Linked DNA regions of Oryctolagus cuniculus. The protein of the gene in region 1 interacts with the protein of each later gene in a pairwise test. Links are inferred from orthologs where the notes say so. Each region holds a gene or a part of one and is shown in the gene's direction. Other genes may lie near its edges. The genes, in order: SDCBP2, C6H1orf35 and PRPF38A.

Evidence for each region.
Region 2: the proteins of SDCBP2 (region 1) and C6H1orf35 interact in binary tests that used the Homo sapiens proteins (3 or more experiments, as listed by UniProt). The two-hybrid records come from large-scale screens. The link is inferred for Oryctolagus cuniculus from reciprocal best matches to the Homo sapiens genes SDCBP2 and C1orf35.
Region 3: the proteins of SDCBP2 (region 1) and PRPF38A interact in binary tests that used the Homo sapiens proteins (3 or more experiments, as listed by UniProt). The two-hybrid records come from large-scale screens. The link is inferred for Oryctolagus cuniculus from reciprocal best matches to the Homo sapiens genes SDCBP2 and PRPF38A.

Annotation. Positions count from the first base shown.
Region 1 is NC_091442.1:27,245,501-27,249,239, reverse strand, and holds the end of SDCBP2 (syntenin-2), read left to right. Parts: coding exon 1-105; intron 106-189; coding exon 190-361; intron 362-2,347; coding exon 2,348-2,439; intron 2,440-2,660; coding exon 2,661-2,715; 3' UTR 2,716-3,117; downstream 3,118-3,739.
Region 2 is NC_091437.1:246,956-250,771, reverse strand, and holds the start of C6H1orf35 (multiple myeloma tumor-associated protein 2), read left to right. Parts: upstream 1-1,277; 5' UTR 1,278-1,378; coding exon 1,379-1,623; intron 1,624-1,709; coding exon 1,710-1,755; intron 1,756-1,858; coding exon 1,859-1,941; intron 1,942-2,035; coding exon 2,036-2,108; intron 2,109-2,246; coding exon 2,247-2,332; intron 2,333-2,902; coding exon 2,903-3,034; intron 3,035-3,129; coding exon 3,130-3,247; 3' UTR 3,248-3,816.
Region 3 is NC_091438.1:120,515,045-120,518,644, reverse strand, and holds the start of PRPF38A (pre-mRNA-splicing factor 38A), read left to right. Parts: upstream 1-1,443; 5' UTR 1,444-1,674; coding exon 1,675-1,804; intron 1,805-2,497; coding exon 2,498-2,657; intron 2,658-3,600. UniProt on the Homo sapiens protein: Involved in pre-mRNA splicing as a component of the spliceosome.

The DNA of each region.
Region 1 (3,739 bases):
CCTGCAGATCAACGGGCAGGACTGCAGCGGGTGGAGCACAGACAAAGTCCACCGCGTGCTGAAGAAGGCGTTAGCCGAGAAGATCGTCATGGTTGTTCGTGACAGGTGAGTGGCCAGGCCCGAGGACCGCTCATTGTGACCCAAGCTGTGTCCCCAGCCAGGCCCAGCTCACCATGTATCCCCCGCCAGGCCATTCCAGCGGACTGTGACCATGCACAAGGACAGCGCAGGCCATGTGGGCTTCTTCATCAAGAAGGGCAAGATCACCTCCTTGATCAAAGGGAGTTCCGCAGCCCGCAATGGGCTGCTCACCAACCACTACGTGTGTGAGATCAACGGGCAGAATGTCATCGGACTCAAGGTAGGCGACGCCGCAGGGCTGCTGCTTCCACACCCTCAGGCTGCCGTGAGCAGGAGACAAAACAGGGTGCCCAGTGCATAGGAAGCACTCAATAGACAGCAGCTGTGTACTGACCTGGGCGGCCAGCCGTGCCACGGGAAGAAGGCGAGGATGAGTGTGCCCAGGTGGCCGCGGGCTGCATGGCCACCCCTTTCCTTTGGTGGCCCTTGGTGGTGGCCTCCATACCCCTGTTCATAGGAGTCTTTTAGAAAATGGTGCTCATCTCAGGAGTGGGGTGTTGCATCGCTACAAAGTGAGAAGGAGCAGGGGGTGAGGGGGTGTAGGGCCAGGGCTGGAGGCCGAGTGTCTTCTGGGCCCACGGGCAGGGAGGAGCCATGCGAACCTGTGAACCCAGCACCACATGAGCCGAGAGTGGCTCCTCATTTGGCCTGTGATTTCTGTGAGTGCCCCTTCCCACCCTGCAGCCACAGCTCCCTCTGCAGAAGGGCCTGCATGGCTCAGTCTTCTCATCTGGTCGTCTGCTCCCCACCGGGGCCATCACCGAGCCACCCAGGCACAAGTCTGCCTCTGTGTGCTTGGCAGGCTCCTCACTGCCTTGGAGACTTGTTCAGGTGGCTCACGCCTGCCCAGGGTGTCTCCTGCTGCCACCCCCTGGCCCGTCGTCCAGGGTCGGGCAGGGTGCTGCCCAGGAAGCTCACCAGAGTTAAAACGTCTGTTCAGGGTTACAGGTTCTGAACAGCTTGAGCTTTCCCACCACAGAGACCCCTGCTCCTTTCAAAGCTTCCAGCTCTGTGATCTCAGCTCTTCTCCGAGCAGCCATTCAGAGCTGTGGCTCTGTCCTTCTCACTGGTGGCCCAGGATGTGGTCATGACCTTGTCCACTGCACCACAGGGCCTGCTTTTAGGGACTGGATTCATCCTTTGCTTGGGCCACTGCAGCTCTGCGTCTCGGGATTGTTTATCTTTGCAAAGTTTGGTATTTCCACCCTGCGGCCATTACCAGTCCTTATTAGCACACCTTCTTCTTTGTTCTGGAACAACTAAGGTGAGCATATCTGGATGGCACAGGTGCGAAGTGCAGGGCGCTCGGCTGGAGTTGGGGCCAGAGGCTCTACCAGGCCCTAGCCTCAGGGTTTGGACTGTCTGGCACTCCTTGCTCAGTAACTGTTAATTATCTTTTAAAAATCATTTATATATTTATTTGAGAGGCAAAGGGACAGGAGAGAAAGAAGGAGATGGAGAGAATGCTTCCATCTGCAGGTTCACTCCCCAAATGCATACAGTGACGGGGCTGGGCCAGGTGAAGCCAGGAGCTAGGAGCTCAGCCCAGGTCTCCCATGTGGGTGGCAGGGACCCAAGTACTTGAGCTATCACCTGCTGCCTCCCACGGTCTGCATTAGCCGGAAGCTGGAGCCAGGAGCTGGAGGCAGGACTTGAACTCAGGTACTTGGCTGTGGGATGCAGGTGTCTTAACCACTAGGCTAACCCCTCCCCCGCTGTGCCTTTTCATTTCTTGTTCTCTCACCATGATCTGAGTGGCTTCTGTCAATGACACATAAGAGGAAGGGGGTCCCCAGGCTGGATCAGGCTGGCCAGACAGCAGGGTCCTAGGGCAGGCAGGTGCACCTGATGTCTCCCACTGGATGGTTACTCCCTTGTGCTTTGGGCCAGAACCCAAGTGTTCCTGGTGCCAGAGAGATGGGATGGAAAGGGAAGGAGAATGAGGTTTGTGTGGCTGTGCTGTGTGTTGGGGCCACAGCATGTGTGCACCCCGTGCCTTCAGGAGAGTCTGGGGAGCGGCCCACCTACTTGACCCGGGTCCTGAGGTGGGAGCCCACAGTCTTGCTCAAGAAAGACCTCACCTGCCAGGGTCGGAGGCAGCCTGGCATCAGGTGTCAGTGCCACCCTCTAGCATCCACACAGGGGCCTGCAGAGCTGCCCAGGCTCCTGGTTCCCAAGAGTGACTGCTCACTGGTTTCCTTTTCAGGACAAAGATATCACAAAGATTTTGGGCACAGCTGGGAATGTCATCACCCTGACCATCATCCCCTCTGTGATCTATGAGCACATGGTCAAAAGGTAAGCCTGCCACCTGCCTGCAGTTCACCTTGCACCTCCCGGCCCAGCTGGGCCTGCCCTGCCCTCCCCTCCTCTTTCTCTTCCTCCAAGGGGGGCTGTTGGCTGCTGGAGATTTGGTCTCAGATCTGGGAGTGAAGGCCCACAGTGGGTGCACAGGCTCTGCGGGGTGGGCAAGGGGAGGACCTGGCAGCCTTGCCCACTGTCACTCTTGCTATCTCCAGGTTGTCCCCAACCCTGCTCCACCGCACCATGGACCACTCCATCCCAGATGTCTGAAGCCACGAGGCCTCGGGCCTGCCCACCGTCCTGCAGGTGGGGGCAGCTGCCCTGGGCTGACAGACAGATTGCAGCTGGCTTCTGCCTGGGGTTGGGGCCACCGTAGGGGTGGGCAGCGTTCCAGGCGGGTGGACATGAGCTCGGGAAGGGATCCTTCCATTATGCACAAAGCTCTCCTGGGAGTCTGAGACACTTGGCTGGGCTGAGGCACTTGGTCCTGGTTTAAATGCTGGGCATGTAGGCAGCCAGCTGCACACTTTTCAAGATTCCGCCTGAACCAGGAAAACAGTGTTGAGAACTCTCAGTGAGAGCGTTGCTTTGCCCTTATGTGATCTTCCACACGGTCTGCACGCAGCCGTAATCCTCACTGTCTTCTGATTAAAGATTTGATTTCAAACAAGATCTTCTTCTCAAAGATCACAGAAATGCATTGTCTCATGACAAGCCAGGGCTGGTTTTCTTTGAAACTGACCCAGGCTGCGTCGCTGCCCCCAAGAGCGGTGATTTGGTTCTGTCCGTCACTTGCTGCCTGCTGGCTTGGCGCAGGGATGGCTGGAACTGGGGGGACTGTGAGGACTGTGGGGCAGCAAGGCTGGGAGGGGAAGCACTAGCTTTGGGGGTCCCCCAGAGTGGCCCTGGCTGCTTTCTGCATCTGGAAATGGGCATGAGAACCCACCTCAGAGGCCGCTGGGGAAGGCAGTGTGCTGTCCTCACGGTGCCCGGCAGCATCTTACGCCAAGGGTGGGTGGAGGGAGGGGGCTGTAGACCCTGTGCCTGACTTCCCATGGGAGTGGCACCCCGCGCCTTGCAGGGCCTTAGGGGCTCTCTGCTTCCCCCTGCATCAGGGCAGAGGCTGCCACCTCGCTTTCCCTGTGCTGGGGAAGACACCAGCCCCGCAGCCCCGCCTCCTTAGAAAACCACCGCGATGTAAAGAAATAGCCGAGGGCCTCGCCATGTTTTCATGCTTTAATTCAGAGCTGTCTGAGGCAGGTACAACTCTGTCTGAACAAAGGACAAAGACGAC
Region 2 (3,816 bases), on another chromosome or scaffold:
CCCAGGGCCAGCTCTGAGCAGCTTCTTGGTTGCTCTGGACTTTCTTGTTAGTAATGTTACAGCAGTTTAAGGCACACACTTAAACGAGTTTATGGGGCCAGCACTGTGGTTAAGCACAGGTTAAGCCTCTGCCTGTGACAGCAACATTCCATATGGCTATCGGTTCGAGTCCCAGCTGCTCCTCTTCAGTCCAACTCTGCTGCGGCCTACGAGAGCAGTGGAAGATGGCTCAAGTGCTCGGGCCCTTGCACCCACGTGGGAGACCCTGAAGAAACTCCTGGCTCCTGATCCGCGCAGCTCCAGCCGTTGTGGACATTTGGGGAGTGAACCAGTGGATGGAAGACCTCTTTGTGTCTCCCTCTGTCTGTAACGCTGCCTCTCAAATAAATAAATAAATAAATCTCTTAATTTTTTATGTGATAGAACGGGGCGGAGCGGAGGGCGACAGAGAGAGAAAGCAGGAGCCCTCCATCTGCTGGTTCACTCCCCCAAACACCCGCAGCAGCCGGGGCGGGGCGGCAGCCGCAAGCGGGTGCCCCGCGCCGCGGCCAGCAGCGAGCTGGCGGGAGCGCGGCGCCAGGCCGAGCAGTCGCCGGGCTGCTCACAGCCCGCTGGCCTGCCACCTGACCCTGTCTGGGGGCTAGGGGTCTGCGGGCCCCCAGACGCTGCTGGAACGCCTCGTGCAGAATGGCTGCGAGGCCGGCCTCCGCTTCAACTTAGCTGAGCCCCCTACGGGGAATCAGGCTGTCTCCGAGAGACCCCTGCTATTGGCATGCAGTATGTGGAACCCGGTCCAATGGGCACCCCCACAGAAAGACCCAACGAAGACAGCAAAGCCTTAAAACCGTGTGCACTTCCCGAAAGCCTTGCAAAACGGGAAGCAAACTTCCCACTTCTTTGCAAGCTGTTCCAGCTTATTTCCATACTAAGCTGAGGAAAAGAACCCACCAAACTCGCTCCGGTAACCGCTGTCCCCTCCCGCGACGCCCAGCGGCTGCGGGGAGAGCGCGGCCTGGGGGGCAGGGGCCCTCGCCGGAGCCGCACCCGGAACCTGGTCCTCCTGGGTCTGTATCGCAGCGATCGGCGGGGACTTCAGGCAGCGGCCCCGCGCCCACCCGGGCTCCACAGCCCCTCCAGCGCCCGCTCGGCGACGGGGCACTGCGCAGGCGCGGGGGCCCAGTCGGGCGGTGCCTGCGTCGGTGCTCGCTGCGAGGTGGGTGGTGGTGCGCAGGCGCGCGGGGCCGGGCCGGGGCGTGACGCGCTGGCAGGTGCGACGCCCCGGGGCCCGGCGCAGGCGTGACGTCGCGGCGCGGCTAGGCGCGGCGACAGGCCAGAAGCCGGCGACAGTCATCGGGGCCCGTGCGGCGGCACTGTAGCCATGTTCGGGTCCAGCCGCGGCGGGGTGCGCGGCGGGCAGGACCAGTTCAACTGGGAGGACGTGAAGACCGACAAGCAGCGGGAGAACTACCTGGGCAACTCGCTGATGGCGCCGGTGGGCCGCTGGCAGAAGGGCCGCGACCTCACCTGGTACGCCAAGGGCCGGGAGCCGCGCGCAGGACCCAGCCGCGAGGAGGAGCTGGCGGCCGTGCGGGAGGCGGAGCGCGAGGCGCTGCTGGCCGCGCTGTGAGTGTCCCCGGGGGCGGCGGAGGGCGCGGGCGGAGGGCGCGGGCGGTCGACGGCGCCCTGACGGTGCCCCGGCCCTCTCGCAGAGGCTACAAGAACGTGAAGAAGCAGCCCACCGGCCTGAGCAAAGAGGTAACCGCAGGCGGGGGCTGAGCTGGGGGCCGAAACGGGGGTCGCGGGGGCGGGGGCCGGGCGGCGCCGGGCCCTCTCTCCCGGCCCTGTGCGCACCCCGCAGGACTTCGTGGAGATCTGCAAGCGGGAAGCCGGCGACCCGGAGGAGAAGGGCGTGGATCGGCTGCTGGGGCTGGGCAGCGCCAGGTGCGGCAGTCCCGGGGAGGAGGAGCCGGGTGCCCAGCGGGGAGCAGGGTCCGGGCGGTGATCCAGGGGCGTCCTCACCTCCGTGTCCCCGCAGTGGCTCCGCGGGCCGAGTGGCGCTGTCCCGGGAGGACAAAGAGGCTGCCAAGCTGGGGCTGTCGGTGTTCACGGTAACCTCTTTGCCCCAGCCCGAACGCGCTGGGGTCCTCGGGGCGGCGGGGGGGGGGGATGGGGGACGCCCAGGGCGGGTCTCCCCGAGGCGTGGGGTCAACCTGCGCGCCCTCGCCAAAGCGCCGCTTCCCCCGCAGCACCACCGCGTGGAGAATGGCGGGCGGGGGACCTCGCCGGCCTCAGCCAGGAGGAAACCGCGCGCCGAGGACAAGGCGGAGCCTGAGTAAGGGGCATTCGTGAGCCGGAGTTCCAGGGGTGTGTGTGTGTAGTAGGGGCGGGGGTGCAGCTCGGGATTTCTTCCCACAGACGTGTGCTCAGAGACGGCACCCACGAAAGGGCCAGGATTGGTTGGCCTTGAGCCCCTCTTTGGGCTGCCCTCGGCGGGCGAGCAGGGCCGGTCTCCATCTCCAGGCTGAATGTGCCTGCCGAGAGGGGTTGGGGTCAGGACAGCTGCTGAGCTGGGGTGAGGCGCAGGCAATGGCGCCTGGCCCTGGCTAGCTTGGGGGGAGGCAGAGCTGAGTCACTGCTGGATCTGCTGGGGAGTTTTTCTGCCACAGTGAGGGTGCGGCTGCTGGCCACACGTGACCGCCCAGCACTTTGAGATGTGGTCTGTTTGGCTGAGGGGCTGACCAGGACCAAGCATGAAGAGGCCGCTACGTTGGTGGCTGCCGCCCTGGACAGCACAAGCGTGTCCATCTTCCTCCCCTGGCCGGGACAGAACTGGCCGCCTGTGCTTGCTGTCTCCTGTCTCCCGAGGGCTGGGGCTGAGGCCCTTTCTGCACCCCCCTTGCAGCTCTGAGAGCCACAGGAAAAGCAAGAAAGAGAAGAAGAGAAAGAAAAAGAAGAAACACAAGAAACAAAAGAAGAAAGACAAGGAGCACAGGAGAGGGGCCACTTCCTCTTCCTCGTCCCCATCCCCTGCTCGGTAGGGCAGCCCAGGGGGAGGGGGACTGGAGCTGGGCTAGATGGGCAGCTGCCGCACGCTGGGTCCTTTCTGAGTGACCATCCCTGTCTGCCCAGGCCTGAACCCCGCCAGCGTGACTGCAACTCCCCCTGCTGCAAGAAGAGGCGGTGTGACAGCAGGGACAGTGGGAGGAGCCCTTCCCGCCAGCGGCACGCCAGAGACTCTGATGCCTGAGACCCTGCCTTGGAGGCCTGTGCAGGTCCCGGGGGCACCCCCCTCAGGGTGCCCTTCCTGTCCAGGTCGAGGCAGAGGGACCCTAGCCTTGCCTGCTGGGCTTCAGGAGCAGGGGCCTGTTTTGTGAACTTCCTCCAGGTCCCAGTGAAGGGAGACTGCGAGCCCAGGGTGTCCCTGTGGCCCTGCCTCAGCCCCCGGCCCTCCCAGCACAGGGGAGCCTGTATTCCAGGACAGGTCTCTTCTCTGTCCTGTCTCCCTCTGCAGCCTCCCCAGGCCGGCCCTCCCGAGGCTGTAGCTATGGCTGAGTGTGGCTACTTCTATTTTTCTTTACATCAGTTTTGTACTTCAGTTTATATTAAAAGCAGAGTGTATCATCACAGAATGGAAGGTGGCCCCAGCACCTGTCCTTCCTGTCCAGGGCCCTGGTGACCGCTAACACCCTAAGGGAGCCCCTCGTGCTCCCACGTGGCCAGGGTAGAACCGTGGGAGGACCCCCCCAGAGGGACGACAGTGTCGGGGCAGCTTGGGAGTGGGGGGCCTGCAGGGAGCCAAAGGCCCCCAGGGCCCAC
Region 3 (3,600 bases), on another chromosome or scaffold:
CTGACTCTATAAATAAATACATAAGTAAATCTTTAAAAAAAAAGATTAATATTTTATTTATTTGGAAGGGAGAGTTACAGAGAGAGAAGAGACAGAGCACGAGAGAGATCTTCCATCTGCTGGTTCATTTTCCAAATGGCTGCAACAGTGGGGCTGGGCCAGGCAAAAGCCGGGAGCCCAGAGCTTCTTCCTGATTTCTTACAGGAGTGTAGGGCCCAAGAACTTGGGCTATCCTCCACTGCTTTCTTTCCCAGGCGCATTAGCAGAAAGCTGGATGGGAAGTGGAGCGCAACTGAGTCTCCAACTGGCGGACCCATGTGGGATGTCTGCATCACAGATGGAGGCTTAACCTCTACACCCCAAAGTCGGCCCCAGAAATAAACCTTAAAAAAAACAAAAAACCAATGAGACACGGTAACTTATTATCTCACACCGGAAACCGTTGACATTCACAACCCATCTAATATGCCAGGGAAGGGGATATCGTTAATCATATTGATTGACAGCTCAAAGCAGACCTAATCATCGTAGTTTCACAAACAACACACAGGATAAGAATCTCGCCATCTTTTCCCACTCAGTCCAGTGCTTTTTCCAGCTGTCACGACAGAAGGTCCCCCTACTGCGGGTTGGACTGGAAGTATCACTGAGTTTCCCTCCTGGAAAGAAGATGCGGGGGAACCCGGCAGTTCAGAGCAGCTCATCTTCAAGAAGACGACCTGGATAATGAGCCCTGGCCGCTAGGTCACAAACGACCCCGAGCTCCCTCTCTGGCCCCAACTACTCTATCCGTAAAATGGAGCGATAGCATCCGCTCCGCCGCTCTGCAGTGTTTCGCACACTACAGCTCAAAGACGGAAACAACGTGAGTCCTGGACAAAGGCAACGCAAATGGAAGGAAAGACTAAAATCCTCAGTGAAGAGATTAAGGGCGCTGAAGGCAGGCACGCACGCGCCTCTCTACTGTTGGCTTCTGGTTCCCCAGGGCGAACTGTGCGTCCTTAGCGGAGCAGGAAGCCTTCTAGGAATCCGACGTGAAAGAGGAACTCTCCTAGCGGGAGTGCGAACAGTGGCTGTCTGCTGCCGGGTGAATTAAGGATAAATGAGTCTACAGAGGAAAACGGCGGTTTTAGGGGCTCAGGTCGCCTTCCAGTCCGCGCGATGCACACTCACCGGGCGCCAACACTTCTCGCTCGAACCGCAAGCCGTTCGCTTCCCTCCGCTCCTGCTTCGGGAGCTCCGGGGGCTGCAGCAACTCTCCACAGCAACTTTCCACAGCTGCGATCCTCCTTTCACAGCCACCGGTCGCACGCGAGAGCCAAAGCTACCGCTCGGGTAGGAATAGAAGGAATGTGGAGAAAAAAAAATTCCCGCCAAACGGCGTAGCCCCGCCCCCAGACCGCCCTCGCGTTACGCCACTGGCCCGGTCGCCCCGCCCACCCCGGGGGACGCACGGCGTACTGCCGCCTACGTGCGGCGGCCATGGTGGATCCGCGGCGCAACGCGCCTCGCGGGCGTTCTCCGGGCTGTGGTGTTTCCGCTTTCAAGATGGTCGTCTAAGCAACCGAAGAGGCTTCCTCCTCCTCCTCCCCCTCTGAGACTCGGCGGTTTTTTTTAACTCTGGATGTGACGCATTAAAGAACACGACGGAAGTGGGGCTGAAGGCGTTCTAAAATGGCGAACCGTACTGTGAAGGATGCGCATAGCATCCACGGCACCAACCCTCAGTACCTGGTGGAGAAGATCATTCGGACGCGAATCTATGAGTCCAAGTACTGGAAAGAGGAGTGCTTTGGGCTTACGGGTGAGCGGGATCGCGCGAGGCGTGGCTCCTTAGTCCCGACTGGGCGCCGGGGGGCTGGGGGAGAGCGTGTCAGTCGTTCAGACAGGAGCGCCAGCTGTTTCCTCGTCTTTTGTGGATCGTGGGGGGCACAGATGAATCTGATAGGGCCTCGCCGTATTCTGAAGGGTTTCTCGAGTTCTTGGAGTCATTCCCCGCTTAACGGTGGCGTGCAGGGTTCTGAGCAATCTTCGGCTCAGGAACCTACTGTAGCTCCTTGACGTATCCTCTTGAGCTATCAAAGGGCCGCAAGTGTCCGACACAGTATTCTTCATCTCAGTGCCCTTAACTGCGGGCCAGCTCACTATTTCCGGGTGCGAGTCCTAATTTGAATTGCAGTACTGAGGACTTTGAAGCTAGTCTTTTAATCTTCTTTACCCCCCATTTTCCTCAAGTGGAAATGGGGACAGTGCCAGATACTTCCTCACGACATGAGAAGATTGAGATAATGTGAAATGCTTAGATATCCGGGCATATAGTGATATTTCAGTGTGTATGGATTACTGTCATCATTAGTATTACCATTAAAACACACTTGTTCTATTACACTACTGGTGACTTCTGAGGAGCGCTGAACCTTGAACCAATGCCACTTCCAACCAGGAAAATCTTACCCCTAATATGATTGAGGTGTTGCTATTTGTTTTTGTTTTTTAGCTGAACTGGTGGTCGATAAAGCCATGGAGTTAAGGTTTGTGGGTGGTGTCTATGGTGGCAACATAAAACCGACTCCTTTTCTGTGTTTAACCTTGAAGATGCTTCAAATTCAACCTGAGAAGGATATCATTGTAGAGTTTATCAAAAATGAAGATTTCAAGTGAGTGCAATATTGACTAATACAAAAAGTTCAGTGGTTCAAAATTGGGATTTTGTTAAGAGTTCTTTACACAACATTTTAACATTTCTCATTTCCACAAAGAGTTCCACTCTAGGTTTTTTTTCTTAAGTTTGTGTTTTCTCTGTTCTGATTGTGATAATCTGCTTTACTTTCTTAGTCATGATCATTTTCCCCCTTTAATAGAATTTCCCATTCCCTGAACATATATTATGTAGAAGTGAGGGCCTAACAGGATAAGCACTGGACACTCACAAGTGGAGAAAACAACAGAGGGTAGTAATTATGAGATGTTAGATCTAGGTTCATGTCCAGACTCTTAATAATTGTAACCTTGGAAAAGTTACTTAATTTTCAAATCTTTGCTTTCTTTTTCTGTAAAAAGGAGACAAATACCTACACAGAGGATTTATGTGAGAGTTGAAGGTGGTGCTTGCAAATTTGTCAGCACAGTGCCTGTTGCATGGAAAACAACTGGAAAGTATCAGCTGCTCTTAACTATTTTATCCCATTCTCAAGAAGCTCACAGAGCAGTATAGAGACAGACATGATAATGGAATATTGTGTATTATATCCTAAGGGCTTTACATATAATTATTCATTTGTCTTCCTAGCAACACTGTAAAAGTATTATCCCTTTATTACAAAGTAGGAAACTGAGGCAGAGATTAAATAATTTGTCTATGGTCAACAGCTAGTAAATGGCAAAACTGACTCCAGAACTCATATTTACTAGTCTCCTTCTCATATAAAGAAGCTGTTGGGTTTCAAAAGCCTGGTAGTTATCTATGTGGAGAGCTGAGTAAGTAGTTGGATATAGGAGGAAGGGAAAAGGAAGGAATCTTTCAAAACATTGGCAGCTACAAAATAGCTGATTTTTGTTAGGCACTTATAATATGCTTTAGCACTTTGACCATTTCTTATT